Oryctolagus cuniculus: one gene and its partner. Each later gene encodes a partner of the first gene's protein in a complex. Links are inferred from orthologs where the notes say so. Each region holds a gene or a part of one and is shown in the gene's direction. Other genes may lie near its edges. The genes, in order: HCRTR2 and HCRT.

Region 1 (15,174 bases):
TATTTGATAAAATAGAATAAAAAATCACTGACACAATAAAATGGATCTTTTTTTTACTATAGAAAATCTGAACATGCATTTTTATTGTTACTCGACAAACCTAATGCTAACCTAGATTAACCTCCTTGAACTCATCAAATTTTATAATTTTCAAGGGAGAGAGACACACAGTGAAATGAGCTCAAGGAAAAGCGCCATATATTCAAAGAACAAAGAAATATTTCCATGAACCCAAGACCTGGGTCATAGCAAAAAAAATCATGTGGTCTAAGGATTGATGTTTAAAATGTAACTATTGTATTCATACTTTTTATCCCAAGATCCTACTCTGTAAAGCACCTGGTGATAATGAATGGTTCTCTGAGAAGGGTGGTTCAGGCAGGCAAGCACCTCAAAAGGTACAGTCTGCACTCCAGGATTACATTGAAACTCTCTTTCTACTGTCTATTATTATTTTCCCATTTTACCCAATGGCCATTATGAAAAAATAAAAACATTTTTAGATTATGGGAAGAGGAAATGAATTAATAGAATGGTGCATCCAACAAAAAGTTCACTAAATTCTTTTTAAGGCTAAAGGTTTAGTAAAGGGCAGCAATGTGGTAGTATTTCCAAGAAGGTTTTTTTTTTTTTTTTTAATGTTATGGAAGCAAAAGTGACACAGATGTATAATTTTTCACAAAATATTCACCTTTCTTTTTGATTGTTTTGTAAGTGTCTTTGTGTGTGTGTGTGTGTTTTAACTTTTATTTAATGAATATAAATTTCCAAAGTACAGCTTATGGATTACAATGGCTTCCTCCCCATAACGTCCCTCCCACCCGCAACCCTCCCCTTTCCCACTCCCTCTCCCCTTCCATTCACATCAAGATTCATTTTCGATTCTCTTTATATACTGAAGATCAGTTTAGCATATATTAAGTAAAGATTTCAACAGTTTGCACCCCCATAGAAACACAAAGTGAAAAATACTGTTTGAGTACTAGTTATAGCATTAAATCTCAATGTAAAGCACACTAAGGACAAAGATCCTACATGAGGAGTAAGTGCACAGTGACTCCTGATGTTGACTTAACAGTTGACACTCTTGTTTATGGCCTCAGTAATCACCCTAGGCTCTTGTCATGAGCTGCCAAGGCTATGGAAGCCCCCTGAGTTCACTGACTCTGATTATAGACAAGGCCATGGTCAAAGTGGAAGTTCTCTCCTCCCTTTTGGAAAAAGAATTCCTCCTTTCAATTGAATTCAGGCCTTATCATCAAATAGTGATTGACCAATAGCTACAAGTAAAATGTTATGCTAACTTTGAAAGAAGAGATAAATTGAACAGCATTTATTCCCTTAAATGTACAATTGTGGGGAACATGAGAGACTGACTTACTATTAAGGGTGTGAGATCATCTTGAAGGAAATAACAATTTTCCCCACAATTCTACAAATTCAACACTATTTAAAATTTAATAGAATTTTTAAAAAATACACAAAGCTAACATGATTTTATAAGTGTGTTTGTAAACACTCATGATTTGTTATTATTACCAATAATCAATGAAATAGTTTATCATATTGGAAACAGAATAGGACAATGACAGCAAGCATATTTTTGCAAGTGGGCCTTGACAGTGGTACATAAAGATTCTGTCATTTCTGTGTGACTCTGACAAAGTTACTTAATCTGTCTGTGTCATAATTTCTTCATCTAAAACTGGAAGACACGTGGAAAGCAAGTTCTTTGCAAACACTAGGAAGTTAACAGTGGAATATCACTTGTTTTTTTCTTCAAAATATGATCACACTGAAATAGAGAGTAGAACAGTTGTTAGCAAAGACTGGGAGGGTTGAAGAGAAGGCAGTCTAGGGAGAGGCCAGTTATGAGGTACAAAATTACAGTAAGATAAGAGTAGGTTCTAGTGTTTAGCACCATTGGGTGACTTAGGTGAGCAATAAGTTACTGTCACTGTGTTTCTTCTCCTAAAAGATAGGATTTTGAACATTTTCACAAGAAAGAAATGATAAATGTTTAAAATAAGGGATATGCTAGTTTACTTATTTTGTCACTATATACTGTACGTATGTACTGAAATATGACAATGTACCCCATAATTATGTATAGATACTATTTTTCAAGTTAAAAAAATTGACAGTAGTTAAAAATATAGAGAAATAAACTTCAAACATAGTCATGCAGCACTTTGGTTGATGTCTATCTGAACCCTTACATTTTATTAACAATAACAAGAGGTACTCAGTCAAGTAATCCCCACAACCAGATGAGAGTGGGATCATGTTACAGCCCTCCTACCTAGTCCCTCTACCTTCTGTCTCACCCTTCTTTAATCTGTTCTCCACATTATTGCCAACAATTGCTCGGAAAGCCTGATTTTGCCTCACTTCATCTTGCTTGTGCCCTTATATTCTGTGTTTTCTCCTGCCGCAAATTTTCCACAAAGTACTTATTACCTCTGCCTGCAACCTTTCCTCTTTAACCACTTTGTAATCTCCCACTTCTTCACATGTTCATCCCACAATGACTCTCCCTGTGGGGAAGCTACTCATTCTGATTCCCTTCAGGCTAAATGAAGCATACTTCCAAACTCTCATGACATTTTGTGAATCTCTCTACCTTGGAAACTCAGTTATGCAATAATCATATTTCTAATTCACCAGTCAACTTACGGATCATTTAGGCTACAATAGTTTTTTTGATCTTTCTGGCTCCAAATTCTAGTTACAATCCTGAGCACATAGTAGATACTCAGGAATCTTATTGAAATGGATCTAGAAAATTATTATAGACCTTCAAAAAAGATACCTCTCATCAGGAATAAAAAAAATAAAATCTAGGATAGCCCATACCATTCTGCAATCTTTGAACAAAACTCAACTACAACCATTAACAGGGAGAGAAAAGATATCAGTTTATTTAATTCTTTAAAGTACCTAAAGAGGACATACAGGGAAAATTTCAAACTTTCTTTAATGTTTTGTAATATTAGTTTGGCTTCTTTCCTGTACATCTAGCAGAAATATTGTGAATTAAAGAAAATAATAATACCTAAGAAATATAAATTCTTTTCAGATATCCTAAAAGATCTAAGGAAGGAGATAATATCAAAAGTGAGTGCTGCAATATTTGCCGTCTCTAATGTAGTTGCAAAAAAGGAAAACAAATAATAATTTGAGGATTAGAGTGGAATTTTTGCATGACATTGGAGTAACCCATATTTAAAATAAAGCAGTTGATAAACCATGGATAGGAGGAAATGGAATATTTGTAGAATCAAGATAAATCCAAGCTTGTCATAACATAAAGCAGATATCAGAATAAAATCTTGAAAAGATTTTCATTTCTCTTTATAACTTCAATAAGCAGTGATGATTAATTTCAGATAGAAGATTTAAAGAGAAGATGGAAAGGTAGACAGGTCAATGTTCCACACAACGAAATCTAAAAGCACTGATTCCTTAGGGAAGAGCAGACTGGGTCCATGTTTATAGATTGTCAGTGACAAGGAATTTACAGGCATTAATGACTATAGATCTGAACTAAAGTTGTAGCAACCTGTCCCACTTTGAAAAGAGTTGTCCATGGAAGAGGAAAATACAAATAGTAATAACGCAGTGGAAAACATACGATAGCAAAATGTTAGCAGATTTGTATCAGTGATCTTGAAAGAAAACACAAAAGGTCTGCTTGTCAAATTTACTGCTGACAACAGGTCTGGAGGAATGGCAAATGCTTTGGATAATAGCATTAGCATTTAAGAAGATCTATTTAAACCTCAAATTAACAAAATTGAATTAATATATCCATAAGTCATTTGAATCTCCTGCTTACATGTCACCTCTTCAGAGGCCCTTTGGACCACTTAGTTCTAGTATAGTCTTTGGGATTCTCCACTCACCAGCACTTTACTCTGATTTTCGTGATATTATTGATCCCTTCCTGGTGCTTTCCTTATGTATTTATCAGTTCATCTGTTTTCTAACTGTACTAAAAATTAAAATATATGAAAGCAGCATGTTTAACTTATGTCACTAAGAATGGAAATGAATAACTCAGTGACTGGTGAAACAATAAAATGCTTATTTAAGTACTTCTGTTGAAAAGAAATTTAGGGGGCCAGTGTTATGGCATAGTGGGTTAAGCAGTTGCATGCAACGCTGGCATCCCATTTGGTTGCCAGTTTGTGTCTCAGATACTGTGCTTCCAGTCCAGCTCCTAATGCGCCTGCTAATGCACCTGCGAAAGCAGCAGAAAATGGCCCAAGTACTTGGGCACCTGCACTCATGTTGGAGCCTGTAAAGAAGCTCTGGCTTCTGGCCTTGGTTTGGCCCAGCCCTGGCCATTGTGGTCATTTGGGGAGTGAACCAGTGGATCGAAGATGTCTCTCTCTGTGTCTCCCTCTCTCTGTAACTCTGCTTTTCAAATAAATAAAATAAATCTTTCTTTTAAAGCAATGTAGTTGGCATACTTGGAAAATTCCAACAACATCTTCATTTTTATAAAAAAAGTGACCTCTGTAGAATAATAGAAGCACTGGTTATGGATCAAGAAGACATTTGTAGAATAACAGCACTAGATGGGGACATGCAGTGATTAATAATTTGATTTTTGGTAGATCATTCAATGTTTTTGGTAACAGTTTCCTCATCTATAAAACAGGACTAATAATACCCAACCCCTTGGGGCTTTTAAAATAATGCATGTGAAAAAATTTTATGAAATGTACAGTACAAAACAATTATAAAAGATTGTGACTGGTGATGAAGGTGAGGCAGTTGAGTAAAACCTCAATGTAAACTATAGGTGCCTTTTAACTTTTGGAAAAAAATTAAATAAAATATGGGTTACATCCAAAAAATAATGTCTATTTTTCCTTACAAGACCCAGACCAGATACTGCATTTCCTCTCAATTGAATATTTTTCAAGATACTATTGTCCAAAGAAAGAGCACTCAAATATAGGCATGGAATTGTGTTGTCTGAAAAACAGTGGGGAAATGGAGGGGAAACATGGAGAATGGGGGAGATGGAATGGGGGGGTGTACTTTACCAAGTGTGAAGGATTGTCAAGCAGAGGATTTATTCTGGGTAATATCAAGTTACACCCTGGGAATTGAAAGTAAAAGTCTTAGAAAGGCAAATCTCTTGATGGTAGAAGTAGTGAATTGTGGTGGTTACATCCAAAATCAACAGAGATATATCAGCAAGGTTATCAGGAGGTAGAAGTTCTGGCTTAATGATTCCAGGGTCCCTCCCACGTCCCAGACTGTAACTAATCAATGAAATATTCAACAGCGTTGCATGAATGGAAGGATCATGAATTCACATGTTGACAAATAAATCCCAGCATCCTCATTCTTAGAGAAAAATATCAATATCAGGTGACATCAGCCCTGAATCAATGAGAAGAGAGACCAGTGAGGTATGTATTCACCAGAGAGTACCCACTGCTGCTTGCTCACTACATGCTACTGAGAATCTGTTTTAATAGCGTTTAGTATATTGGTGGGATCTTCTGCTTGGCAACATTAACTATGATTACATTTATGACCCTTGGTGTCCTTCAAGGATTTGTTGCTATATTTCATATGACATTTAGTGTTGCAAATACAAATTCCAGCTAAATATACCCTTCAGTCAAAAAAAACATTGTCATTTCCCAGTTTTGAGGAGGAAAGGAGATATCTTAAAGATTGAGCAAGTGCTAATTTGGCAAATGTTAAATGTTAAAATATTTGCTGAAATGACTTCGGCACTGTCCTGCTTAAGGAACACAGTGGTTCATTACTTTTACATTCTCATTAGGAAAAACCACAATACATCCTGTATTAACCCTGTGTTGACCATCTTGTGATGTCCACATACCTACAGATGACTCTGTGTGCTTTACACAAACCGCTCTTGAAAAATGTAGGAAAGGAGATTTAACCCACAGGGAAAGAGTTCAAAATAATATTTTTTTCTTTGCCCTAGCATCCGCAGGAGGAGTCTGTGGGCTGAGGACTCAGTGTTGGAATGAGGAGTAGTTGAGCTCGAGCTGAGCCCGAGGTAGCCTGCTCCTCCCGGTGTCATTGCTGCAGCCTCCACTGTCCGTTCCCCAGTTGCTCAGCTGCCTCTCTTTCCTATGCAAAACCGCCTGCAAAGACAGCAAAGCCGCCGCAGAAGTTGCCCGGCAGAAGACTCCGGAGGCATTGGCTCAGTAACTTTTCACGTCATTTTCTGCTCCGGAGCCCCTGCTCGCCTCTCCGCGCAGCCTTTCCCACCGCAAATCACCAGTGCTCATGGGGCAGGCGAAAAGGAGCTTGCAGCACTGAACTGAACCGGACTCGAGCCCGTGATGTCCGGCACCAAATTGGAGGACTCCCCGCCTCGTCGCAACTGGTCATCTGCCTCAGAGCTGAACGAAACTCAAGAGCCGTTTTTAAACCCCACCGACTATGACGATGAGGAATTCCTGCGGTACCTGTGGAGAGAATACCTACACCCGAAAGAATATGAGTGGGTCCTGATCGCAGGGTACATCATCGTATTCATCGTGGCTCTTATTGGAAACGTCCTGGGTGAGTTTCCTCCCGGGCAGCCCTCCAAAAGGGCTGTCACCTCTGCTCCGGAAGGCTCTGAAGACCCCTCCCACCCTCTGGGATGCAAACAAAGAGGTCGTAGCGCTCTCCCTAGCTCTCCCTCTCTTTCTCTCCCCCTCGTGAGGTTTTCTAATGCAAAAATAAAACAAAAGTTTTCTTGTTTCATGCACCAGGACAGACCATGGCATGGTTATTCCTCTTTCTGCAGGCAGCAGAGGGAAACCGCGTTTCTTTTCCGAGCACCTAGGTTACAAGCGCGGGGAGAAGGGGCAAACCACAGGGATCTGCAGGTGGATTTGGTGGAGTGTTGGGGAATCAGTCATCCTTTTGTGTAAGGCGGCTGAATGTTGTGGAGGGGATCTGAGGAGAGGCAGGGCTTGCAGAGTGCAAGCTGTCTTGACTGTTGAAGTCACAAAGCACTTGCGAGCTAGGTAGCCTGCCCTTTGGCAAGGTTTGGGCTCCCTGTCAGGAAGAGGTAATGAAGGGGCAGGAGCTGAGATCAGGCAAAGCACGGAAGTGCACTCACTCCGGAGCCTGAGCCTGAATTAAACAAGAAGCTTGCCGGCTGCAAGGAGAAGGAGGAGCATCCAAGAAAAGTACCTCGGAAATCTCACTCAGCCCTCCGTCCGTCCACCCACCCACCCATTCATTCATTCATTCATTCATCCGTTCAGCCAATGTTTTCCAGAGCCTGCCTGTTGCCAGTGTCAGGAAATATCTATTGTGTTAACTGCTCCGTCCTCACTCCCTCCCACCCCCCACCAAAAGATGACACTAAAAGCTTAATGCTGGGCTTAATGTGAATGTCCCTGCTAGGTCCGCATGCAAACACAGGTTTCCTCGACCCCTCCCTACCGTGAATTTCTGAGTGTTGGGAAGGGGATTGGGTGATGATAAGGTGACTTAGATGTTGGAGTGTATTAGGGAACCAGAAGAATCTAGTGCAAGAAAAGGACCTTTGGAAGGGAGGGAGGACTAAGAAGGAATTGTGAATGGAAGGAGCCTGTACCTTGATGAATGGAGAGTGGGATGCCGGGAGGCATTTCAGATGCAGAGGGCAGTGTGGAGGAAGTGTCTGTTGAAAATGTCAGGAGGAGATGGAGGGGGCCAGGGGAAGGTGCTCTTTATTTTCAGTTCTAAAAAGAGAAGGTGAGAGAGGTGAATTAGGTTCCAAGGCTTTGAAGTCAGAAGCAAATAATTTGTTATAAAAAAAAGAAAAAGGAAAGGGTTTTCAGCTGTTACAGAGGATGATAAGGAACTTATCAGGTTTTCAGCAATAACCTGATTTTTGCTTTTTCTCCTAAGTGTGTTGGTCTGGCTAAGAGGCATGCAGTCATAGTATGTCACAAAGGGGAATTCTCCAGTGAGTTGGTAGGATATTATGAGATGAGGTAGGAAACCTCTGAGACATTTAGCTTGCTCTTTCTATATTGTTTTCAGGATTTGTTGTCAGTGTTGCTGTTAAGTGTTTAGAGTAAACATAAAGAGAATCTTCTTGGGATATAGACAAAGTGGATGAAAGTGAAAATATACATGACTAAGTCTCTTGTTACCAGGATAAATGAGTCTGCTGATAGCAAGGCCATTCCTGCTTTCCTCCTTCTTGCCATCTTTTCTTCAGTTTACATTTATATGACATACGAGTACCAGCATATCAACATTTCACTGTATTATGCCATACTTACTGTTACACGAATAACCAAAATTGAACATATATTGACAACTTACTGTATTCCAGACCCCTTGCCAAACATTCTGTCATTTAGAATTCAAAATAGACCATACTCAATAGTACAAACAAGGCTTAGACAAATCAATGACTAATTAACAGACATAATTGAAATTCAATTTCATTTCTTTTGCCTCAAATCCACAATTCTCCATTGATATTACACTCTGGAGATAGAAATCATATGGAGAATGGATTATCTGTTTCTGATTATCTGCAAGCCTGTTGGATGCATTTCCTGTTGTCTGCATCTAAGTCCATTTATGTCAATAAAGTACCATGATAGGTTAATAGCACTTGTGATTCTCATGACCAAAAACCCACCTACAGGGGAAACTTTTACAGTTAAAAAAGACATTTGTTTTGCAGGAATAGTTATAAATTATAACTATTTCCTCTCCCTAATTTTATTTCAGGCTTACTCTTTGTGGTAAAATGTGCTTTTCTTTGCTGTTATTTAATTTTTGCTTTGCATAGGCCTTCTGATGCATAGTCCTCATAGACTAATTGCATAGTTTAGTAATACATGATCACTAGCCTGGGGAGTTTCAGATTCCAGAAGGAAACACCTCTACAGTAAGGCCACTTACTTTACTTCAAAAAGAGATTGCTGTCCATAGCCTCAAGTGCTGAAATGGCCAATTCCATTCAGTTCAAAATGAAAGATTAACTCAAGGCACTCTGCTCTCAAGATACTGACAACTGTTTTCCTCAGGACTGAATAACACAGAAATCCTCTCTGGATAGACTGAAATTCATTCTTTACTAAAATATTCCCTGAAAGTTGATGAGGTTTAAGTTTGACATTTAAATGAATGAGCAGTGTCATTACTCAGACTACTTCTTGCTCTTTGATGTTCTTGTCAAATTTGCAAAATGGATTAGACTGAGACTTGCTTTTTTGCCCCCCTTTGGTGATTTTACAAATAGAATGCAAAGACAAGAACTCACATTATTCATGAAAGATAAAGAGACAACCTTCGTTATGGAGGTGAAGTACCACAGTGCAGGCAGCATATGTAATCACTGACCCATCAGGTCCATTCACTGTTTGCTTTCATGTAACTGACTACTTGGAAAAGCTCAACCTTGTTGAACTTACAAAAATAATGCTATCAGTGAGAAATAATTTCTTCTACAGTGCCTTTTATAAACTGATGGAACAGGATATGCTCTGTGAAGAATGAAAAAGTCTTGATCGTCCTCACCTTTTTTTTTTCTCCACAGTCTTTCTCATTATAACCTTTCTCCATTATAAGATGATCCTTTCAGAGACATGAAACAGTTTCCTGGAAAAAAATTACAAGGCCATTCACAACAGGCACAACCACTGTAAATGGTATTTCATGAATATTTGCATTGTAAAAAGACACATGAATGACTAATTGTGGATTTGGATCATGGTAATAGCATCTTTTTGGAAGGAGTAATTTTTCCAGTTTCTTCAAAATGATGCCACATATACCACATATACATACATATATGTATACATTACATGATGTATTCCCAAATATATCTTGTGCTATAGCCACTAGATGTGTCTCTTTAATCAACTAGTATATTTTGAGTAATATTATGTTCTTAAAGTCAGTGTGTAAGTGTGAGGAGGATTTTTGGGGAAATACAAAGGAATATATTTGATGTAATTTTTACTCATGATTTCTGAAATGTAAATTGGAGGGAGAGATGTGTTTCCAGTCAGCTCAAGCATTAAATACCTGGGGAAAAACATCAGTTTAATGACTCTCTTGTGTCTGCATCCAAAGATACAATATGTGTAGGTATGAATCCATCTATTCTTCTTGCTTCTTGTGTGACTACTAGCAAGTTATTGAACTAATAATGTCTCCTTTTTTTAAATTGCATACTAAGTTGATAATGCCTGCCTTGTAGAAATTATATCATGATGTAATACACACATATTCTATGTAGAGATGCAGGAACACATACTTGACATATACTATATAATAATTAATGGCAGTTATTAATCCTTGACTCTCACTACTGAAATATTCCCTAATGTGGTTTGTAGTCATTTTATACCTCCATGGCCTCAGTACCTTTTAAGCTCTTTATGGCCTCTGCTGTAGCTTTTGTTAAAATTGATTGTTTTACTGAAAGGTGTGAGTAATATGGAATTGACAGCTTACTCTCCTTTGCCAGGTCAGCTCCACCCACTCATCCCCTTCAAAGTGATTACTGTACATTGTCTTCCCCTTTCTGAAAGCTATTCCTAACTGTTGGGATAATTTTCTTTCATCCAGGTTAAACTTGCCTTTAGTAGGTCTCATTCACTTGATTTTTGAGTTGTTATTCGTCAGTCTATTATTTTTAATGTTGTTAATTTAACTCAGATGAAGCACTTAAGGCATTAAGGAATTTACCCCATATGAGTTAAGGTCAAGTAGTTAGATGGGGTGGAGGGAATATCTATTAAAGAGTTGCTTCCTACAGACTTAATCTTATATTCTAGTAGTGGAAGTGGCAGACTTCTGAGTGTCTGCTACTCCTAAGCATAAGAGGCATTACTTATCCATATCTCCTAATGCTCATTTGAGATCTGTGGGTGTCCATGAACCCATCATTTGCTATACAGGAAACAGAAAGAAATTAGAGAGAATATATTACTCATCTCTGCAAAGACTCAATAGAAGTCAGAAATAGTGAGTGTAAAAGACAATATTAGCTATTGGGTTTTAAACCTGTTGTGTGTTTTTAGTTGCAGAATATTTTAATAAAAAGTACTTATTTTAATGGGAATTAAACTGATGCCTCTGCATTTTTGCTAAACCATAGTCATTTGGGTTTAGTTGGTAAAGATAAGTTATATCTTTGACTTGAGCAGAATTCAAATGATAACTCTATAAATGGCTATATCATAGATAACAGAGCAACATTTATCCTGGACAGACAATTATGAGAGTAACATGTGCTATGCATAATTTAATGACAATGGATTTCTTCTTATACTTGAAAAAGTACATAGAAAAAAAACAATTTGGAAAAATTTGTCAAAAGAGGTCAAATTGAAGGACATGCATTTGGTCTAATTTTTAAGACATGGCTTCAGATGCTTGCATCCTGTATTGAGTTGCAGCCCAGTTTTGTATTCCAGCTTCCTACTAATGGACATCATAGGAGATAGAACATGGTGGTTCAAGTAGCTGAGTCTTTGCCACTTGGGAGATCTGCACTAAGTTCTGAGCTCTTGGTTTCAGTCTGGTCCTATTCTTGCTATTGCAGGTATTTGGTGAGTGACCTAGTGAATAGGAGTTCATTCTCTACATATGCATATGTCTTTCCCTCTCTCTGCCTCTCAAATAAATAAAATAAATAACTCTTACACATTTTTGTAAATGGAAGTCAAAACTAAAACTCAAATACAGATACAATGCTCTAGTTTACATTTTTCTTGACTTTAGTAAAAATACATATATTGAATTTTATGATATGTATTTAAATGGATTTTCATTATCTTGTATTTTAGATTATATTTAAAAACTATCCTGTATGGTAGCTACATTCACATTCATAAATCCCTGAATTATCACTCAGCTCCTAAAATATCAGGAACATCAATTGCTGATGTTACTTTACTACAAGAAGAAGATCCTTCTATTTTTCTTCCTATTGTATTATTATTTTTTCTTAATGATTTTTTATGTAATTGAAAGGTAGAGTTATGGAGAGAGAAGGAGAGACAGAGAGAGGTCTTCCATCTGTTAGTTCACTCCCCAAATGGCTGCAATGGCTGGAGTTGGGCTTGGCTGAAGCCAGGAGCCAGGAGCTTCTTTCAGGTCTCCCTTGTTGGTACAGGGACCCAAGCACTTGTGCCATGCTCCCCTACTTTCCCAGGTGCATAAGCAGGAAGCAGGATCAAAAGTGGAGCAGATGGGACTTAAACTGGCACCCATATGGGATGCTGGCAGTGCAGGTGACAGTTTAACCTTCTATGCCACAATGCTGGCCCCATTTCCTTTTGTATTCTGACAACTCCTATACTCTTACAGATACTAACATTGTTACATAATGGCTTACTAGTATGAGTCAACCAGACATGCAATAGATGAAGCTAAGTGTATTTGACTCCAGTCCCTCTTCTCACTTCAAAGGAAAATGAAGAGTATTTCAGATTGTATGCCAGGTCTTATATATGGCAGCCTCCACTTTTGTGTATTTATTGATGCCTTACAACATCAACCTCCTAATGATGAGTAGTTAAATACTTTATTTTACAAATGAGATAAATGAAATTCAAAGAGCAGTTTTAACTTGTTCCACAGTTTAGTCATCAGTAAGCAGCAGCACTAAATTTCAAGTACATATTTTACCAACTGCACACTCCACACTTGTCATTACTTCATACTGCCTCTTTCCCTAGTTTCTAACTTGGGCTGGAGAAGTACAGAAGAAAGAGGGAAGAAAGTGATGCTTTGATGTGCCCTCTAGACAATTTACAGAGTTGTTCTGGCATGATGCCATGCTATTTCTCTCATACACTATAGCACTTTAGCTTTGAGGATGAGCTCATTTGATAAGCTAATCAAGGTCAGGCTAGGGTTACTTTACAACAGAAAATTTCAAGGTAAAATAGGTGCTGCCAAAAATGCTTTTGCCTGTAAGGGGGGGAGGGTGACTCAATAGAAAAAAAAAATGCCAGATAATTGTGTCCAAAGGTTGTTTTGTTATTGAGTGGTATCTTTAATCACAGTGTAAGACTGACAGCCTAAACACTTAAGACTTCACATAATGAGTTTTTTTCCTATATTCAAATACAGTCATCACTTAATAGGATAATTAATGTATATTTAAACAAATCATAAGTTTCATTGTTTGAATGAATAAATCAGTCCTCATATTATGTTCCTAGAGCAGAATGCTCTTATTTATGTTCAAAGAGGCATCACACAAGACATGAAATGACCTTATGCTCTGAGTATGGAATACTTTGAGATGTTATTGGATTTAAAACATGTCATATATGGCCAGTATTTGAATAACTGATTCTGAGTATTAAATTTTTTCATGCCACCTTTGTTCTCCATGAGAAATGATCTTTTAACCACATAAATGTAGTAGATTACTATTTGAAATAGCAAATCCCTAAAAATAAAAGCTCCTTTACTTAATTCTTCAAAAATATTTAGGGATTCTTATTTCTGGGTCTATCAGTAATTTACATTTTGTATTTAACAAGAATAATGTTTAATACTTTATAGTGTTCTACTCTTCAGAAGATATTCTTACATTTTTGTCTCATTTATCCTTCACTACAAACTTCTGAGGTAGATCTTATTTAGTGAAAAAGATTCATCTATCAGAAATGATTTAAAGTCACTGTGGAAAAAAATCACAGGCACACAGAAATATCAAAGGGTTGTGTTTCAACATTGGAATAACTTGTCAGTTTCCTATGGGGGATGTGATGACCTTTGTCTGGTGTTCAGCTATGCAGTCTTTGATACATGATTTTGTCAAAAATCTGAGGAAGGATTCTCATTAACTAGATCCAGAATCCTGTCCACAATAAAACAAAATAATAATTCCAATGTTTTAATTTAGAAGTTATCCTACAAGTCTTAGAATACCCAGAGCTCTTTCTATCATCATAATCTTTTCCAGTAGAATGAACCACATAAAAACTGTTATGGTTTGAATAGCTACTCTATGGCACAGTACCAAACACACTCTCAAATTCTCATTAGGTTAGCACCACAAGTTTGTTTCTTGCTCATTTCTCATACAGTATGGGTTGCAGAATCAATTTTACACAAGATTCAGGGTTCAGACATCCTCATTTTTGTTTTAATTTCTGTTTTCATTTTAGATTTATTTATTATTTGAAAGGTGGAATTACAGAGAAGGAGAGACAGAGGCAGAGAGAGAAGTCTTCTATCTACTGGTTCACTTCTTAGATGGCCACAATGGCCAGGGCTGGGCCAGGCCAAAGCCAGGGGCCAGAAGCTTCTTCTGAATGTCCCACATAGGTACAGGGTTCCAAACACTTGAGCTTCTGCTGCTTTCTCAGGCACATTAACAGGGAGCTGAATCAGAAGTAGAACAGCTGTGACTCAAACTGGTGCCCATATGGGATGCTGGCACTACAAATGGGGGCTTAAACCTCCACACCACTGTGCCAGCCCCAACCCACTGTTCTTATTCACCTTCTCAACATCTAGCCTCTATAACAATCAATTTTCAAGATGGCTTCCAATAACATCTCATAATACAACATTCATATCCATATATAGTCTTCCACATTATGTCAGCATTGGTCTGGTGACCAATACATACTGCAGACAGTACATCTCTCTGAACATTGCATTATGAAAGAATGTAACTTTTGAGTGGAGTGCCAACTGTCATTCCTTTTTATCTTGTCCTCAGGAGGAGGTAAGCTACTTTGTTATGAAGGTTGAAATCTCCACCCCATACTCATAGAGGAAATACAGGGTTGACAACCTCGTGTCTGAGCTGGGAAATGAATTTTTATGGCTAGTTAGAATTTTGAGGTGATTATAATGGCATCCCTACCTCAATCCACCACCAGCTTGACTATAATATCATAATGGACTCTGAGACAGAACTACCCAGTAAAGTTTGTCACATACTGCTGAACTTGGAGAAATTTAATAATTAATTTTTATTGTTCCAAGCTTTAAGCTTTAGGATAAGTTGTTACATATTCACTATAGTTATAGTAGAAGGGTGAACTAAACAAAACAATTGGCTTTGATCTAGCTTTGCCAAAAACCAAAGGTGTTATTCATGCACATAATCATTTGGCCAAAATCAATCATATTTTGTCGTCCAAACTGTAAAAGAGGCTGTAGTTGTAAAGTCTCTGTCACAAAAAC
Region 2 (14,129 bases), on another chromosome or scaffold:
TATTCAATAAGGGGTTTCTTTCTGCTACCTCCTTTGTTGCGAGGGTTCGAGGGTTCGTAGGTTCGCAGAGTTTGGTTTTTTCCAGTTCTCAAGCTCGCACCTGCTCTGGGAGGGAGGACAGCCCACACCTGGCTCCAGCCATGTCAGGGCGCTCTTCCGCACTAGCCTCTTCTCCACCTGCCTGGGTTTGAGGATCTGGCCCCAACTCCGCCATCTGGCTGGCTGGGCCAGCACCGAACTCCTGGGTGACCTGCCCCTTTAAGAGCACCCCCCATAGCTCCTCCCTCGGGCGGGGGAGGCCGGATTTCCCCATCAGGGCCCAGCCCGGCTCCATCTTTCTGGCCGGATGTGTCCTGAGCCCTGAGCTCGGAGGCTCTGAGGGGCCCTGGGAACTAAGCGTAGGCAGAAGTGGGCAGTGACAGGTGCAGGCGGGACAAACCCACTGCCCAGGGCTCAGGAGGGACTCAGAGCCAGGATAGACAGGGAGGGTCCCGAGGGAACGCGGTCAGTCAGTGCAATGTCACTCGCCCAGCGGCCACTTTGTGCCAGGCCTGTGCGAGGCAGTTTCTGTACCTCCTGGGAGAGGAATTAGGGCTCCTGTTTTACAGATGAGGACACGGAACTCAGAGCGACCGGCTCGTTTGCCCGGCTAGCGAGCGGCAGAGGCAGGATCTGAACTCGGGTCAGTGGGCCTCCAAAGCCTCAGTGGTCTCTCCCCTGCCTCGCCTGCCCGACAAGGTCTTCGCTTCTCCGGGGCCTCCCTGTGCACAGTAGAGCAAGGTGGCAGCGGGGGCGGGGGAGGGGAGTGTAGGCAGCCCCCCATCCCGCTCAGGCTGCCTCCTCCCCCCAGGAACTGCTCGGAGATGCTGCCGGGGCCCCTGCTTTTCCTCCTGCTGCCCCTGTCCCTGCTGCTGCTGCTGCTGCTGCTGCGGCCGCCACCGGCCACGCTGGGGCAGCCGGGCTCCTGGGATGCCAGGCTGTCCTGGCTTGCTGGCCTCCAGCACCATGTGGCCAGGGGCGTCCTGGGCTGGGCAGCTGCCTGGCAGCAGTGGAAACTGGACCAGAGCACACTGCACGTGGGCCAGAGCCAGCAGCAGGCCCTGGCGTGGTGTCTGCAGGGAGACCAGGGTCCCCGCGGCCCCCTCAGGGGGAGCACAGGTGTGTTTCCGGGGTCTGGGGAGGGCTCCCCAAGAGAAAGTGTGCAGGACAGTCAGCTCTCAGACCTGGGAGCCCCTTTCTCCCAGCCCCACTGCCCTGACCCGGACTCCCCGCCAGGCCCAGACCTGGCTCGCGGCTTCAATTAGAACTTTCCCCACCTGGCCGGAGTCCCCTCCCCACTGCCAGGGCTGCTCCCGGTTTTGCCCGCAGGGGTCTCCCCAGTCTCACCTGCCGCTCTTGGGAAACAGGCTTCTTGAGCAGTTTCTGGTGTCTTTGGGGCTGCAGATGTGAGCACCTTCCGGAATCTTCTCCCTCTGACCAAGGCCAGCCAGGCCCAGGAAGAATGTGGGGGGCCGCTCCTGTCCCCTCCCCAAGGCCCTTACTGTGGCGGGACCTCGCTGCAGGTAAACCCGGCTGACCAGAGCCCCAGCCCAGAGGCCCCCCCAAAAGGGAGGACACAGGGGGTGGCTCTGAGGCCGGCCCCACAGTCTCTCTTCTCTCCCCCAGGCCACGCTGCTGGGTCTGGGGGCTCTGAACAAGGCCTTCCCAGGAGTGCTGGCTCCGGGAAGCACAGCCCGTGTGACCCCCACATCGCCGTGGCCCAGTCCCTTCCCCTGGCCTGGGCGCGCCTTGGGCCTGCTCAGCACCCCCGGAGTGGCGGACCCCAAGGCCCTGCTGCTGGCGGCCCTGAGGTCCCCAGGGCTGATGGCGCTGGAGGCCGGGACGGCAACCGAACTCCTGGACGTCTTCTTGGGCCTGGAGGCCAACGGCGAAGAGCTGGCTGCGGCCACAGCTGCCGGGAAGGCGGGCGCCCCGCTGCCTGGCCGGGCAGGCGAGCTGCGCGCCGCGCTGGAGCAGGGCCCCCGGGGACTGGCCCTCCGGCTGTGGCCACGGCTGCAGGTGGTGGTGACGCTGGACGCAGGAGGCCAGGCGGAGGCCGTGGCTGCCCTCAGGGCGCTGTGGTGTCAGGGGCTCACCTTCTTCTCTCCTGCCTATGCGGCCTCTGGAGGTCAGCAGGGTGCCCAGGCAGGGGGGCGGGAATGGGGGTGGGGCAGGGGTGGAAGGCCAGGACCACTGCCCGCCCTGCTGAATCCTCCCAACCCCCAGTCTCCTTTTACAAATGGAGAAACTGAGGCTCACAGCAGGGCCGATACACCCCCGCGCTCACAGCCCCTTCCCAGCCGGGCCGAGGGGCAGCGGGCTGAGCCTGGGGCTGGAAGGGCGGCCGGAGGTTCGGGCTCCCAGAGGCGCAGGGTGTGGTCTGGAGTTGGCTGCTTTGCTCCCCGCAGGGGTGCTGGGCCTGAACCTCTGGCCAGAGCAGCCCCCCGGGCTCTACCTCCTGCCCCCGGGAGCCCCCTTCGTTGAGCTGCTCCCAGTCAAGGAAGGAGCCCAGGACGAGGCCGCTGGCACCATCCTGCTGGCTGAGGCCCAGGAGGACAAAGAGTACGAGCTGGTGCTGACTGACCACGCCAGCCTCACCAGGTGGCCACCTGCCCAGCCCCTGCTACCTATGGGTCCCTGCGGGAGGCCGCGGGCACGAGCTCACCCCCACCTGCCCCCACCAGGTGCCGCCTGGGTGACGTGGTACGGGTGGTCGGGGCCTACAATCAGTGTCCCGTCGTCAGGTTCGTCTGCAGGTAGGTGCCGCCCCTGGGGGGCCGGGGGGCCGTCCTGGGGCCCTGGTTCCACTGCCTCCCCCTTCCTCCTGCCCAGGCTGGGCCAGGCCCTGAGTGTGCGAGGAGAGGATATCAGGGAGGACGTGTTCCAGGAGGCCCTGGGCCGGGCCGTGGGGCAATGGCAGGGGGCCAAGCTCGTGGACCACGCCTGTGTGGAGAGCAGCATTCTGGGTATGCATCTCCATGGGCTCCCGCTCAGTCCTTGGGTTAGCGACCCCCCAGCCCACACCCACCCTCCGGGGGAGGAGACCCTGCCTCCAAGGCTGCCTGGGACACAGGTCCCTCCTGAGGTCTAATTTTCGTGCCTCCTGCTGCAGTGCCTGCCTGTGTGCTGTCCTGAGCGCTGCCCTATTTGGGACTGAGCTCCAGGCTCCGCTCCATTCACCCCACCCCCCACCACGGAGCTCAGCGTTGGGAGGGGCAGGTGGGCTGAGGGCCCTGGCCCAGGAAGTCGCCTCACTCACAGCAAGTGTGTGTCGGGGGGTTGTTGTCCACAGACTCCTCCGAGGGCTCTGCACCCCACTATGAGGTGTTCGTGGAGCTCAGGGGACTGAGGAACCTGTCCGAGGAAAATCGGGCCAAGGTAAAAAGCCAGAACTGGGTCGGACCGTGGGAGTCGGGGGGGGGGGGGGGCTTCGTTCTGCGCATGCGCACGATGCCTGGCAGAGCTTGCCCTGGGGTTCGGGGAGGAGAGGTCGAGTCCCACACACAGGCACACACACACGCACACATGCACACGCACGAGTCCTGCGCGCGCCCGGGCCACATTCACCGCCCCCCGCCGCCTCACACAGGCCCCTCTGTTCCCAGCTGGATCACTGCCTCCAGGAAGTCTCCCCCCACTACAAGTCCCTGCGGTTCCGGGGCAGCGTGGGCCCCGCCCAGGTCCACCTGGTGGGAACGGGGGCCTTCAGAGCCCTGCGGGCAGCCCTCCGAGCCTGCCCCTCCCTCCGCGCCCCCCCTGAGATGCCCCGGGTCCTTAGACACAAGCACCTGGCCCAGTTTCTGCACAGGAGGGTGGTGTCCTGAGCCAGGGCCCGCCCGCTGCCGGCCTCCCCTCGGGTCTCTCCAGATGGGGGTCCTTGGCCAGTGCTGGGGTGCAGGCTCCGGGCGTAGAGCAGACCCCAGCCTGTGACCACGTGGAGGCCACTGTGGAGGAGCTCCCCGTCTCTCCCATCAGAAAAGTGTTCGGCCACGCTCATGAGTGCTGGGGGGGGGGGGGGGGCGTGTCAAAGGCCCCAGGGGCGACCCTCAGCCGGTAAGGAACAGGGACTGATGCAGACAGACCTCCGCATCACTGTCCCTGAGGCCCCCATGCGGTCTCTCGGGGTCCTCAGCTGCCCATGGCCGTGACCCACTCATTAATGCACATTAACGCAGCTCCCCCCCACACCATTGTGCTTCCAAATAAACCTCTGGCACCCAGATTCTTGACTCAGGGTCTGCTTTGGGGCGACTGTGTCGGGGTCCCTCCCTGTGCCCACCGCAGCCTGGCCCGGCCATTCCCCTTTCAGCCCTGGGCTCCCCCACGATGTGCGGCAGCCTGGGTCACCCAGGAGATAGTTGCCTCCTCCTGCCGGCCCAGCCCAAGCGTGCCCCCCCCCCCCACCTCAGCACTGCTCCGTTCCCTGTAGGGGATGTCCTCATGTTCCAAGCAGGGAGAAACCCCAGAGACCTTCTGGGCCGAGTGTCCATGCCAGCAGGGTCCACAGCTCCTGTTCTGTCTCCGCTTCTGCCTGCAGACTGCGTCTCTGCTCCCTGTCCCCACATCCAGGGCCCTGCTCTGTACCCATTCAGCCCCTTCCTGATAAAATCCGCCCACGGCAGCTCCCCATTGCCCACAGGTTTAGGGCAATCAGCGTGGCCTCTAAGACCCTTGGGCCCTGGCCCTCTCTCCTCCCCACACCCGGAGACCACGTCCCCCACACACTGTCCTTGTGTGGAATGCCTTCTCCCCCCAGCTCTCCTGAGGAGCCCCTGCCCACTGCAGGCCGAAGAGCTCTGGTCAGCTTTTCCACACTGAGCTGTCTGTGTGCCCGGATCCCCACCTGCACTTGGGAGCTCTTTGGAAACTGGGCCATGGCCTACGCATCTCTCGTTCCGGTGCCCACGCAGGGCCTGGCACTGAGCAGGAGCACAACAAATAGTCCCCAGGGGGCCAGCGCTGGTGTAGCAGTTAACTCACCGCTTGGGGCACCCACATCTCAGATCAGAGGGCCTGGGGTGGAGTCCAGCTTCCAGCCGCTGTGCACCCTGGGAGGCAGTGGGTGATGGCTCTAGTGGCTGGGTCCCTGCCACCCGTGTGGGAGACCTGGATGGTGTTCCAGGCCCCTGGCTTTGGCCTGGCCCTGTCCTGGCTGTTGCAGGCATTTGGGGAATGAACCAGTGGGTTGAAGATCTCTCTGTGTCTGCCTTTCAAATGAATAATCAAATAAAAATAAAAATAAAAGCCAGCAGTGCTCTGAGAAGCTTTGGCCTGGAAGTGGCCCCCTCCCTGTGGAAGGTGGGGAGGGGCCACGCCCTCCGTCCAGAACACTGGGCAGGTGGCGGCTTTCTGTGAGCTTCTGGTAGAAACCGAGTCTGGCTTCCTTTTCTCCCCCAGCCCCCAGGGGTGGGTTTCAAGGCTTGCCAGGGAGCAGAGGGAAGGAGAGAGCTGGGGCAGGGGAAGGCGGGGCAGGGAACCTTTTCGCGAAGAAGGCAGGCTCTGGAGCCCCTCCCCCACACACCAGCCCGGTGGGTCTCCTAATTAGCAGCTGCCCCCACCACCACATCGGTGGGGACCTGCGCCCCAGCCAAGGCCTCTTTTGTGCTCTCAGATTCCTGGGTGCAAGGCGGCCTCATTAGTGCCGGGAGACTGCCCCATCTCCAGGGAGCAGGCGGATGGACAAGGAGAGGACCAGGGCCACGGTGACCCATCCCCAGCCTTCCAACGCCTGGGCGGCCATTCCTTGCGCCCAGCCTGGAGACCGCAGGCTAATCTTAGACCTGCCTTTGTCTGGCAGCCCTGCGTGCTTGCGAGTGCCCATCACTCCCCCCCACACCACAGAGCCTTATAAACCCCGGGGCCCTTGGAAGCGGGTCACAGTCAGCAGCCGCGCGGTTCCCTGCTGTTTGGACCACTGCAGACGCCTCTCTTCTTGGCTGCCCATCCTGAGCTCCAGACACCATGAACCTTCCCTCCACCAAGGTAAAGACCGACCCAGGGACCCAGGGGAACTGATCACATAGGGAGGCAAGAAGAGTGCTCGCTCGGAGGGCTGGAGAAGGCCAAAGGGGGTCTCTTTTTCCTGGGGGCTCTGAGACAGGAGGCTCAGCAGTCGCCCAGCAGCTGACCTGCCTGGTTCACACGGGGTCATGCCCTGTTCTCCTGGGTCCACGCTTACTGAGCACCTACTGTGTGCCAGGTGCTGTTTCCATCTGTCATCTCATTTCATCCTGCCAGCAGGCCACCTAGTAGGAGTTACTCAGTACCCAGTTTATAGGTGAGCCAGCTGGATGGGGAAATGGTCCGAAGCCATGGAATTTGGTGTTCTGTGTTTGCCAGCTGTGAGAAGGGTGAACGGTGGGGACCAAACGGGGCCTCTGCTTTTCCCGACTCAGACGCTGGTTTCAGGTGCACAGGTGCGAGCTCTCACGGGGGTACCCAGAAAGCGGGATTCCTTCTGCGGGTGGGGGGGGGGGGCCCGGGATCTCCAAGGGCTTCCCAGAGGAGGTGCTCTGCTGGGTCTTGAAGAATGAGCAGGCGAAGGAACCAGAGACGAGCCTTTCCCCCCGGCAGAGTCCTTCAGACAGGCGGGTCCAGGCAGGAAAACTGCGCGACAAAGCGCAGGACAGGAGGGGCGCGGGGCCAGCGCGCAGGGCCTGGGCGCGGGGGCTGGCTTCGGGCACGCCGGCAGGACCCCCAGCGCCCCGTCCTGCCTCTGCAGGTCTCCTGGACCGCTGTGACACTCCTGCTGCTGCTGCTGCTGCCGCCCGCGCTGCTGTCGCCCGGGGCGGCCGCTCAGCCCCTGCCCGACTGCTGTCGCCAGAAGACCTGTTCCTGTCGCCTCTACGAGCTGCTGCACGGCGCGGGCAACCACGCCGCCGGTATCCTCACGCTGGGCAAGCGGCGGCCCGGGCCCCCGGGACTCCAGGGCCGGCTGCAGCGCCTCCTGCAGGCCAGCGGCAACCACGCGGCCGGCATTCTGACCATGGGCCGCCGCGCAGGCGCGGAGCCGGCGCCGCGTCCTTGCCCGGGAGGCCGCTGCCTGGCCCCGGCCGCCACGGCCATCGCGCCCGGTGGACGGCCTGTGCTCTGAGCCCGGCGAAGACCCCGCGTTCTCCGCCTCTGCCCTCTCTGTGTTCCCCCGGAAAAACTGCAATAAAGACGAGTCTCCCTTGGTGTGTTGCTGGTCTCCGTTCCTACGAGGTCGCGTCCAGCCCTCCAGGGGGCAGGAGAAGCCCGGCTCTGGGGGCTCCAGCCCAGCTTGCGCGCTGTTGAGTCTGAAACACTCTTGGTTGGGGAGCTCACAGGGCAAGGGCCCTTGCAAAGTCCCGGGGTGCGTGCTCGGTGGGGAGGACGCGGGACGGACGCTGCCTCCCAGGCGCCACAAGTCTTCCGACAGACCCGCAAGAGGGGACAGAGGGCGAGGCAGGCGGCACGGAGGGGCGGAGTCCGGACTGCCAGGCGTGCGAGTGGCACCTGCTGAAGACCGGGACAGGAGCTTCCACAAGGCATTGTCCGGAGGGGCTGCAGCCTGCGGGGGCTACAGCGTGGGGGAGGGTGCCGGTCAGGTTCGCACAGCAGGGGCGGCGAAGACAACTCATCAGGCTTCGTCCTTTATTCTGTAGGTAGCTGGGACGCACAGAAGTTCTTAAGCAGGGCGAGGGTGAGGCTTTCCTGCAACACCTGTGCTGGGTTTGACTTTCTTCCCCTTGAATTCATGCTGAAGTCTTGGCTCCTAGCACTGCAGAACACCGGCGTTTTTGACAATAGGGTCTGTGCAGGTGCAGTTACTCAGGATGAGGCCACACGAGAGGAACCCGTGAAGGCAGGTGCCCTTACGAAGAGGGTGACAGTCAGGTGGTGCATCTGCCAGCCGAGGGAGGCCAGAGTCAGCCAGCAACCCCCTCCCGGTGGGGCACAGACATTCTCTCTCCCAGCCTTGAGCAGGAAGCAGCCCTGCCTGCTCTCTGATGAAGGCTGGACTCTCAGGCTCCAGAACTGGGAGGCTGTAAGATCACCGTTGTTTCAAATGCCCACCCTCTGTGTGGAACTTTGTTAGGCCAGCTAGGAAACTACTAACATCCGAAAGAGAGGCAGAAAGACACAGCCCTGGTTGGAGTCCGGAGTCCCAGACAATGTCCAGCTCAGACCCCCAGGGAGCAGGGGGAGGGACATTCATTCTGCCTGCCCTCTTGCCCAGCGGGCTCCTACTCTCGCTGGCTTTTGTTTTGTCTCAGGGATCATCGGCTGCCTCGATGATTTTCTGCTGAGCTGGTGAGAAGGCCCCATGTCTGCTCCTACCCAGGTTCCTCTTGGGAGGGATCAAAGTCCATGTGTGCATTCTTGCTGACTTGCAAACCCTCACTCTGCACACCTAGAAACTTCCTCAGGCCCAAGCTTGCCTCCAGCCTCACTTCCCCTTGCAAGGCGGCCGGGGGGCGGTGGCGGAGGAGGGGGGTGCAAGACTGACTGCAGGAAGCAGGAACAGCGAGGCAGACTGCGAACCAAGAAGACAGTCATGCCGGCGACAGGCGTCATGCTCCTAAATGCCCGCAGTAACTGCACCAGGTTAGAGTTATTAGGGGCTGACGCTGCGGCACAGCAGGGTAAACCACCATCTGCAAAGCTGGCGTCAGATCCAGCTCCCTGCTAATGCACCTGGGAAAGTCGTGGAAGATGGCCCCAGTGCTTGGGCCCCTGCACCCACACGGGAGCCCTGGAGAAAGCTCCTGGCTTCAGCCTGGCCCAGCCCTGGTCATTGCAGCCTTCTGGGGAGTGGACCAGTGGATGGAGGATCTCTGTCTCTCCCTCTCTTGCTGTAACTCGTTCAAATAAATAAATAAATAAATCTTTAAAAAGAATTATTAGGTCCATTTTATAGATGAGGATGCTGAAGCCGTCACACGCAACAGGTGGACGCAAGGCTTGCTTTCTCGACGCGCCTCAGAGGCAGGATCCACCAGGGTGTGAGGCAGAGGGCACAAGTTAGAGGTGCTTTCCAGGAGCTGGGGTTCCGAGCTTCCTGTCCTCCGTTCCCCACCTGCACAGCCAGCCTTTTGACCCTTGGCTTCTCCTCCGAGCGCAGGGATCTGGGGGTGCCGCAAAATATCCCAACTCCAGCAGGCGGCACTGTAAGCCGGACGCCAGCGCCAGGCGTGGGCGGCGCGCGGGGAAACCCACGAGGTGGAGCCTCGGGAGCTGCCCGGGAACCACGCGTGGGGGCGTGGCCACCTGGAAGGGGGCGTGCTTGCCACTCAGGCCCCGCCCCACCAATTGAGGCCTCCTCCTGCGGTGGGCGTGTCTCAGATTCTCTCCCCGAGAGACACGCGTGGGCCGCTCCCTTGTGCGAGGAGGGCTGCCGGGGAGGGGGTGCGGGTGTCGCCGGTGGCCCCTCCCCGTGCGGGGCCACGTGGCGGGCGCGGGCTCAGCCCGCGGGGAAGAACCTGACCCGTGGGGAGGCGGGGAGGGGGGAAGGGGGGGGGAACAGCGGCGACGCGGAGCGGAGCCGAGAGCACGGGGTTCAGAGCAGAGAGGCGGCGGCGGCGGCGAGAGGGAGGGGAGCAGGCAGGCGGGCGCATGGGGCGCCGCGGCCCCGCCGGCAGCGTGCCCCCTCCGGCCCGGCCGCGCTGAAGGCTCGCTGGCTCCGCGCCTAGGACCCGCGACCCGGGGCCATGCCGGTCATGAAGGGGTTGCTGGCCCCGCAAAACACCTTCCTGGACACCATCGCCACCCGCTTTGACGGCACGCGTGAGTGGGGCGGACCGGGTCGGGGCTGGAGGTTCGACTTGGAGGGGCCAAGTCTCCACGGGGCTGGCCCGGGTCCCCTGGATGTGGTGAGATGCGAGCCGAGCGGAGAGAACGGAGTTGAGGGTCTAGGACCGCCCGGAGCCGTGGCTAAGGCACAGGGCGAGAGCGCTCTGCGAGGGGGAAGGAGGGGGCCCAGAGCGCGGAGTGGGGGCACGGGGAGGGGGTGTGACTCGAGGCAGAAGACGCTCTTTGTGCGGCGACGGAGGAGGGGCCTCGGGAGCCACCCACTCCCGGGCCGAGCTTTGCCGGGGGCGTGGGGGGGGGCGGGTAGCCGAGGCACGGGTGGGACGAAGAGGCTGGGCGTTCTAGGAGCTGCTCCCAGACGACTCCAGCTGCACGTCCCTCAAGCAAACAAAACAAACAAACAAACAAACAAAAAGGAGCAAAGACCAGGCTTCGGCAGGACCTAGTGTGGATTAAGGTCGCTCGCCCCATCCCACCAGGGCTGGGTCCCAGGTTCAGCACCTCGGACAGCCGCACCGCTCCTTCCCCGCCTCTTCTCCCGCCATTCCCTCGTCCTACTCTGGAGCAGAGATCCCCTCCCAGACCCCTCGGGAGCCCTGGCCGGGAGCTGGAGGGTGGAGGAGCGGTACCCGAGGGCGGAAACCGAGCCAACCTGGCTCTACCCGCCTCTCCACCCTCCCTCCACACACACCTCCCCCGTTTCCATAGCACCCATCACCAGGGAGACGGGCCCTGGGATGGGAGAAGGAGGCTGTGCCCAGGGCTCAGAGCCTCCCAGGCACCCTCAGTGTCTGTCCCTATCAGCCGCCCCACCCCCGGACAGTCATCCTTCCTAGTGCCCCAGAACTGGTTGTGTCTGAGGCCCCCATAGTCAGCTGCAACTGTCCCTGGGCGGCCCACAGCCTCCCACTCACTGGAGCCGGAGGGAGCCAGCTCAGGTTCTGTTGCTGCTGGGGGGTTGCTGGAGCTGCACCCTCCGTGCCTTCTCCTGTTGAACTCTGAGCCCTGGGGGACAGATCCCCTGAAAATGGCTAAAGGAATGGGAACAAGCGGGCCTTCCCTGGGAGGCAGAGGATGAGGACTGCTCATCTCTGTGTCGTCCCCGCAATAAGAAGACTTGTGAGTTTGGCTACTCTCTTGTCTTGTGGTTTCCTATCAGTACAATAGGTGAGATCGCCAGAATCTTTGCCCTGCTCACTCTGCCGTAAGACAAGAGGGTGATGGGGCAAACGTCAGGGAGTCATCTCACCTTCTCAGAGTCCTACTCCCTAGGCACCAGGATTTGTGGTCCCCAAGTTAGCTGATGTCACTCCTGCCACAACCGTGTCAGGAAGGTGTCTTATGACGCACTTGGCAGAGAAGGGCCAGAGGGCTAATTAACTTGCCCAAGGTCACACAGGAGAGGGGTTTTGGAGCCTGTTTTTAAAAGAAAAAAAAAGTTATTTATTTGAAAGACAATTTTACAAGAGAGAGGGAGAGAAAGAGAGATCTTCCATCCACTGGTTCATTCCCCAAATGGCCACGATGGCCAGGCCTGTCCAGAGCCTGGAATTCCATCTGGGTCTCCCATGTGGGTGGCAGCACTTGAGCCATCCTCTGCTGCTTTCCAAGTGGAGCAGCATCTGAAGTGGAGCAGCCGGGACTAGAACCGGTACTCATAAGGGATGCTGGCGTTGCAGGCAGTGGCTTAGCCCACTGTGCCACGACGCTGGCCCCAAGCCCATTGCTTGCCATGCTATGCTGATTCCTACAATTAGGTCTCACCGGCCGGAAGGCGGGAGATGGACCTCAGGATCTCTCGGGGTTTGGTTTTCTCCTCCAATTCCCCGTGGTGGTCCTTGCCTCGGTTCTAGGCCACCTCTGAGTCCTTTCTCTTTGTCATCTCCTCTGATTCTCCTTTCAGAATATCCCAAAGAGGGTCAGGAGCCACAGCAGAGCCTGGGGCGCTTCTGGCTCCGACCTCTGGCCACCACCTGGGGGAGGCACTGCCCACCTGGAAGCTCGCTCCCCTCCTGGCCTCGTCCTGATCTTGACCACTTCCTCCCACAGACAGCAACTTCCTGCTGGCCAACGCACAGGGCCCCCGGGGCTTTCCCATCGTCTACTGCTCTGACGGCTTCTGTGAGCTCACTGGCTACGGCCGCACCGAGGTCATGCAGAAGACCTGCAGCTGCCGCTTCCTCTACGGCCCAGAGACCAGTGAGCCAGCCCTGCAGCGGCTGCACAAGGCCCTGGAGGGCCACCAGGAACACCGGGCTGAAATCTGCTTCTATCGCAAGGATGGTGAGGGGCCCTGCAGCCCTGCCCAGACACCAGTCCTTGCCCAGAGTGCACTGGGCACAGCAGCAGCCTGGGTGCTGGTGCCCACGCTGCCACAGGCTGACCGTGGGACTGAGGTCATCCCCGACCCTCTCTGGGCCTCGGCTCCCTCTTCTGGACAATGAGGGAGTCAGCCGACAGACTCTGGGGTTCCAAACTGCGGCCAAGCCCTCTGCCGGTGTCCGGCGCCCCGGGGGCATCAGAGAGAGCCGCATGCTCACTGCCTCCTGCCTCTCTCCACGTCCGCAGGCTCGGCCTTTTGGTGCCTCCTGGACATGATGCCCATCAAGAACGAGATGGGGGAGGTCGTGCTATTCCTCTTTTCCTTCAAGGACATCACGCCCCGTGGAGGCCCAGGACTTGGCCCCCCGGGAGGCCACGGGGACAGCAATCATGGTAACTGCAAGGCTGGGCGGAGGCAAGAAGAGTCAGAAGTCCTTGCCCAAGGACACAACCTTTCAGCACGGGCCCGACTCACCTCCACGTCCTTCTTCCCCACAGAAAGCTCCCTTGGCAGGAGGGGAGCCGGCTTGAAACTGCGGTCCGCCAGGCGGCAGAGCCGCACCGTCCTGCACCGACTGACCGGCCACTTCGGCCGCCGGGCCCAGCCAGGCATGAAGGCCAATAATGTGAGTCCCATTCCCATCCCAGCCGCTCCCAGGTCCCCCCGCCTCAACTCTGAGACCCCTCTGCTGCCGCTGCCCCCCCCTTCCCTCCCCCCGGCCTCCCTCCAGGGCCTGTGCACTGCCTGGCTCCAACCCGTGTCCCCCACAGCTCCTTCCATCCCTACTTCCCTTGCTACCCTAGATGATTGACATTGCTCCGCTCTGATGCTATCACGAGGGCGGGGCTCTGGCAGCACTCACAGCACCCACGCCAAGGTGATAGGGTGAAGCCACAGCTGCTATGGGCCTAGGGAGACAGCCCCCGTGGAGGGCCTGGCCTCTAACCCCGTGCACCCCTCCTAAGACTCTGCCACAGCCAGAGGGAATCTCCTACCCTCTGTGTAGTCTGTCAGGCTGCAAGGAATGGGGAGGGTTGTGCCAGCCTCCTCTTCCCCTGGGACATATGAGCCCCCTAAAAGCCCCCCAGGACCAAGGAAAGACTTAATGGAGAAGTTAGCGACTCCTCAAGCTAGGGCATGCAACTGATATGTTATAATTCTCAAGGAGGTGAGGGTCAAACCTTAGAAACTCCCTCTCTCAACCACATTACGGGTGCACAGGGTGCCTGGGCAGTAGCCTGGCAGGAGGGGGCAATGCCAGACACCAGCCTCTGCGCCCCGCCCCTCCCCTCCACCTCCGCTCGCAGCCACCTTCGCAGTGCCCGCTCCCCACCTCCCCCATCCCCTGCTTCTCCCTGCCCCCAGCTGTGGCTCCTCTGTCCCCCGAGTGTCCCCAACTGCCACCCCTCTCCCTTTAGAACGTGTTTGAGCCAAAGCCATCAGTGCCCGAGTACAAAGTGGCCTCCGTGGGGGGGTCCCGCTGCCTCCTCCTCCACTACAGCGTCCCCAAGGCCATCTGGGACGGCCTCATCCTCCTCGCCACCTTCTACGTCGCGGTCACTGTGCCCTACAACGTGTGCTTCGCGGGGGATGACGACACCCCCGTCACTTCCCGACACACCCTCGCCAGCGACATCGCCGTGGAGATGCTCTTCATCCTGGGTCAGACTCTCCGCCCGCATCCCCTGCTGGGTGGCCTGGGGCGATGCCCTCAGCCGAGCCCCACTGCACCTCGGGCCTGCCGGACCCGGCCTTTCCAAGCCCATCCCTTTCTGGGGTTTTAAGTCCCATGGTCCACGTGCCCAGCCCCCTGCCCCCTGCATCCTTCAACCTTGTGGCCTTTCTCCCCGAGGTCCAGCTGCACGCCCAACCTCTCCCTCCCATTCCTGCCTCCTGCTCCATTCGGGGTCTCCAAGGTCTGTCCCCAGCTCGTCCAGTCCCAGGGCCCTTTGGCCTGAGTTTTCAGGCTAACCTGCCTAGCATGCCAGGCTAACCT

What was found.
Region 2: the proteins of HCRTR2 (region 1) and HCRT are in contact, whole or in part, in a cryo-EM structure (PDB 7L1U), measured with the Homo sapiens proteins. The link is inferred for Oryctolagus cuniculus from reciprocal best matches to the Homo sapiens genes HCRTR2 and HCRT. Residues at the interface, in NP_001371201.1 of Homo sapiens: Thr111, Val114, Trp120, Pro131, Gln134, Thr135, Val138, Gln187, Val209, Cys210, Asp211, Phe227, Thr231, Ile320, Ser321, Asn324, Lys327, Arg328, Phe333, Ala334, Thr336, Arg339, Val342, Tyr343, Phe346, His350, Tyr354; in NP_001515.1 of Homo sapiens: Asn89, His90, Ala91, Ala92, Gly93, Ile94, Leu95, Thr96, Met97.

The regions. Positions count from the first base shown.
Region 1 is NC_091436.1:114,347,242-114,362,415, reverse strand, and holds the start of HCRTR2 (orexin receptor type 2), read left to right. Parts: upstream 1-6,174; 5' UTR 6,175-6,344; coding exon 6,345-6,567; intron 6,568-15,174. UniProt on the Homo sapiens protein: Nonselective, high-affinity receptor for both orexin-A and orexin-B neuropeptides. Triggers an increase in cytoplasmic Ca(2+) levels in response to orexin-A binding.
Region 2 is NC_091448.1:20,616,936-20,631,064, forward strand, and holds HCRT (hypocretin neuropeptide precursor), read left to right. Parts: upstream 1-5,988; 5' UTR 5,989-6,000; coding exon 6,001-6,021; intron 6,022-6,760; coding exon 6,761-7,132; 3' UTR 7,133-7,213; downstream 7,214-14,129. Other genes in the region: GHDC (GH3 domain-containing protein), read left to right, coding at 864-1,158, 1,444-1,562, 1,666-2,167, 2,448-2,640, 2,724-2,795, 2,872-3,005, 3,332-3,417, 5,651-5,741 and 1 more; voltage-gated delayed rectifier potassium channel KCNH4, read left to right, coding at 9,711-9,786, 11,860-12,093, 12,379-12,525, 12,631-12,758, 13,552-13,795. UniProt on the Homo sapiens protein: Neuropeptides that play a significant role in the regulation of food intake and sleep-wakefulness, possibly by coordinating the complex behavioral and physiologic responses of these complementary homeostatic functions.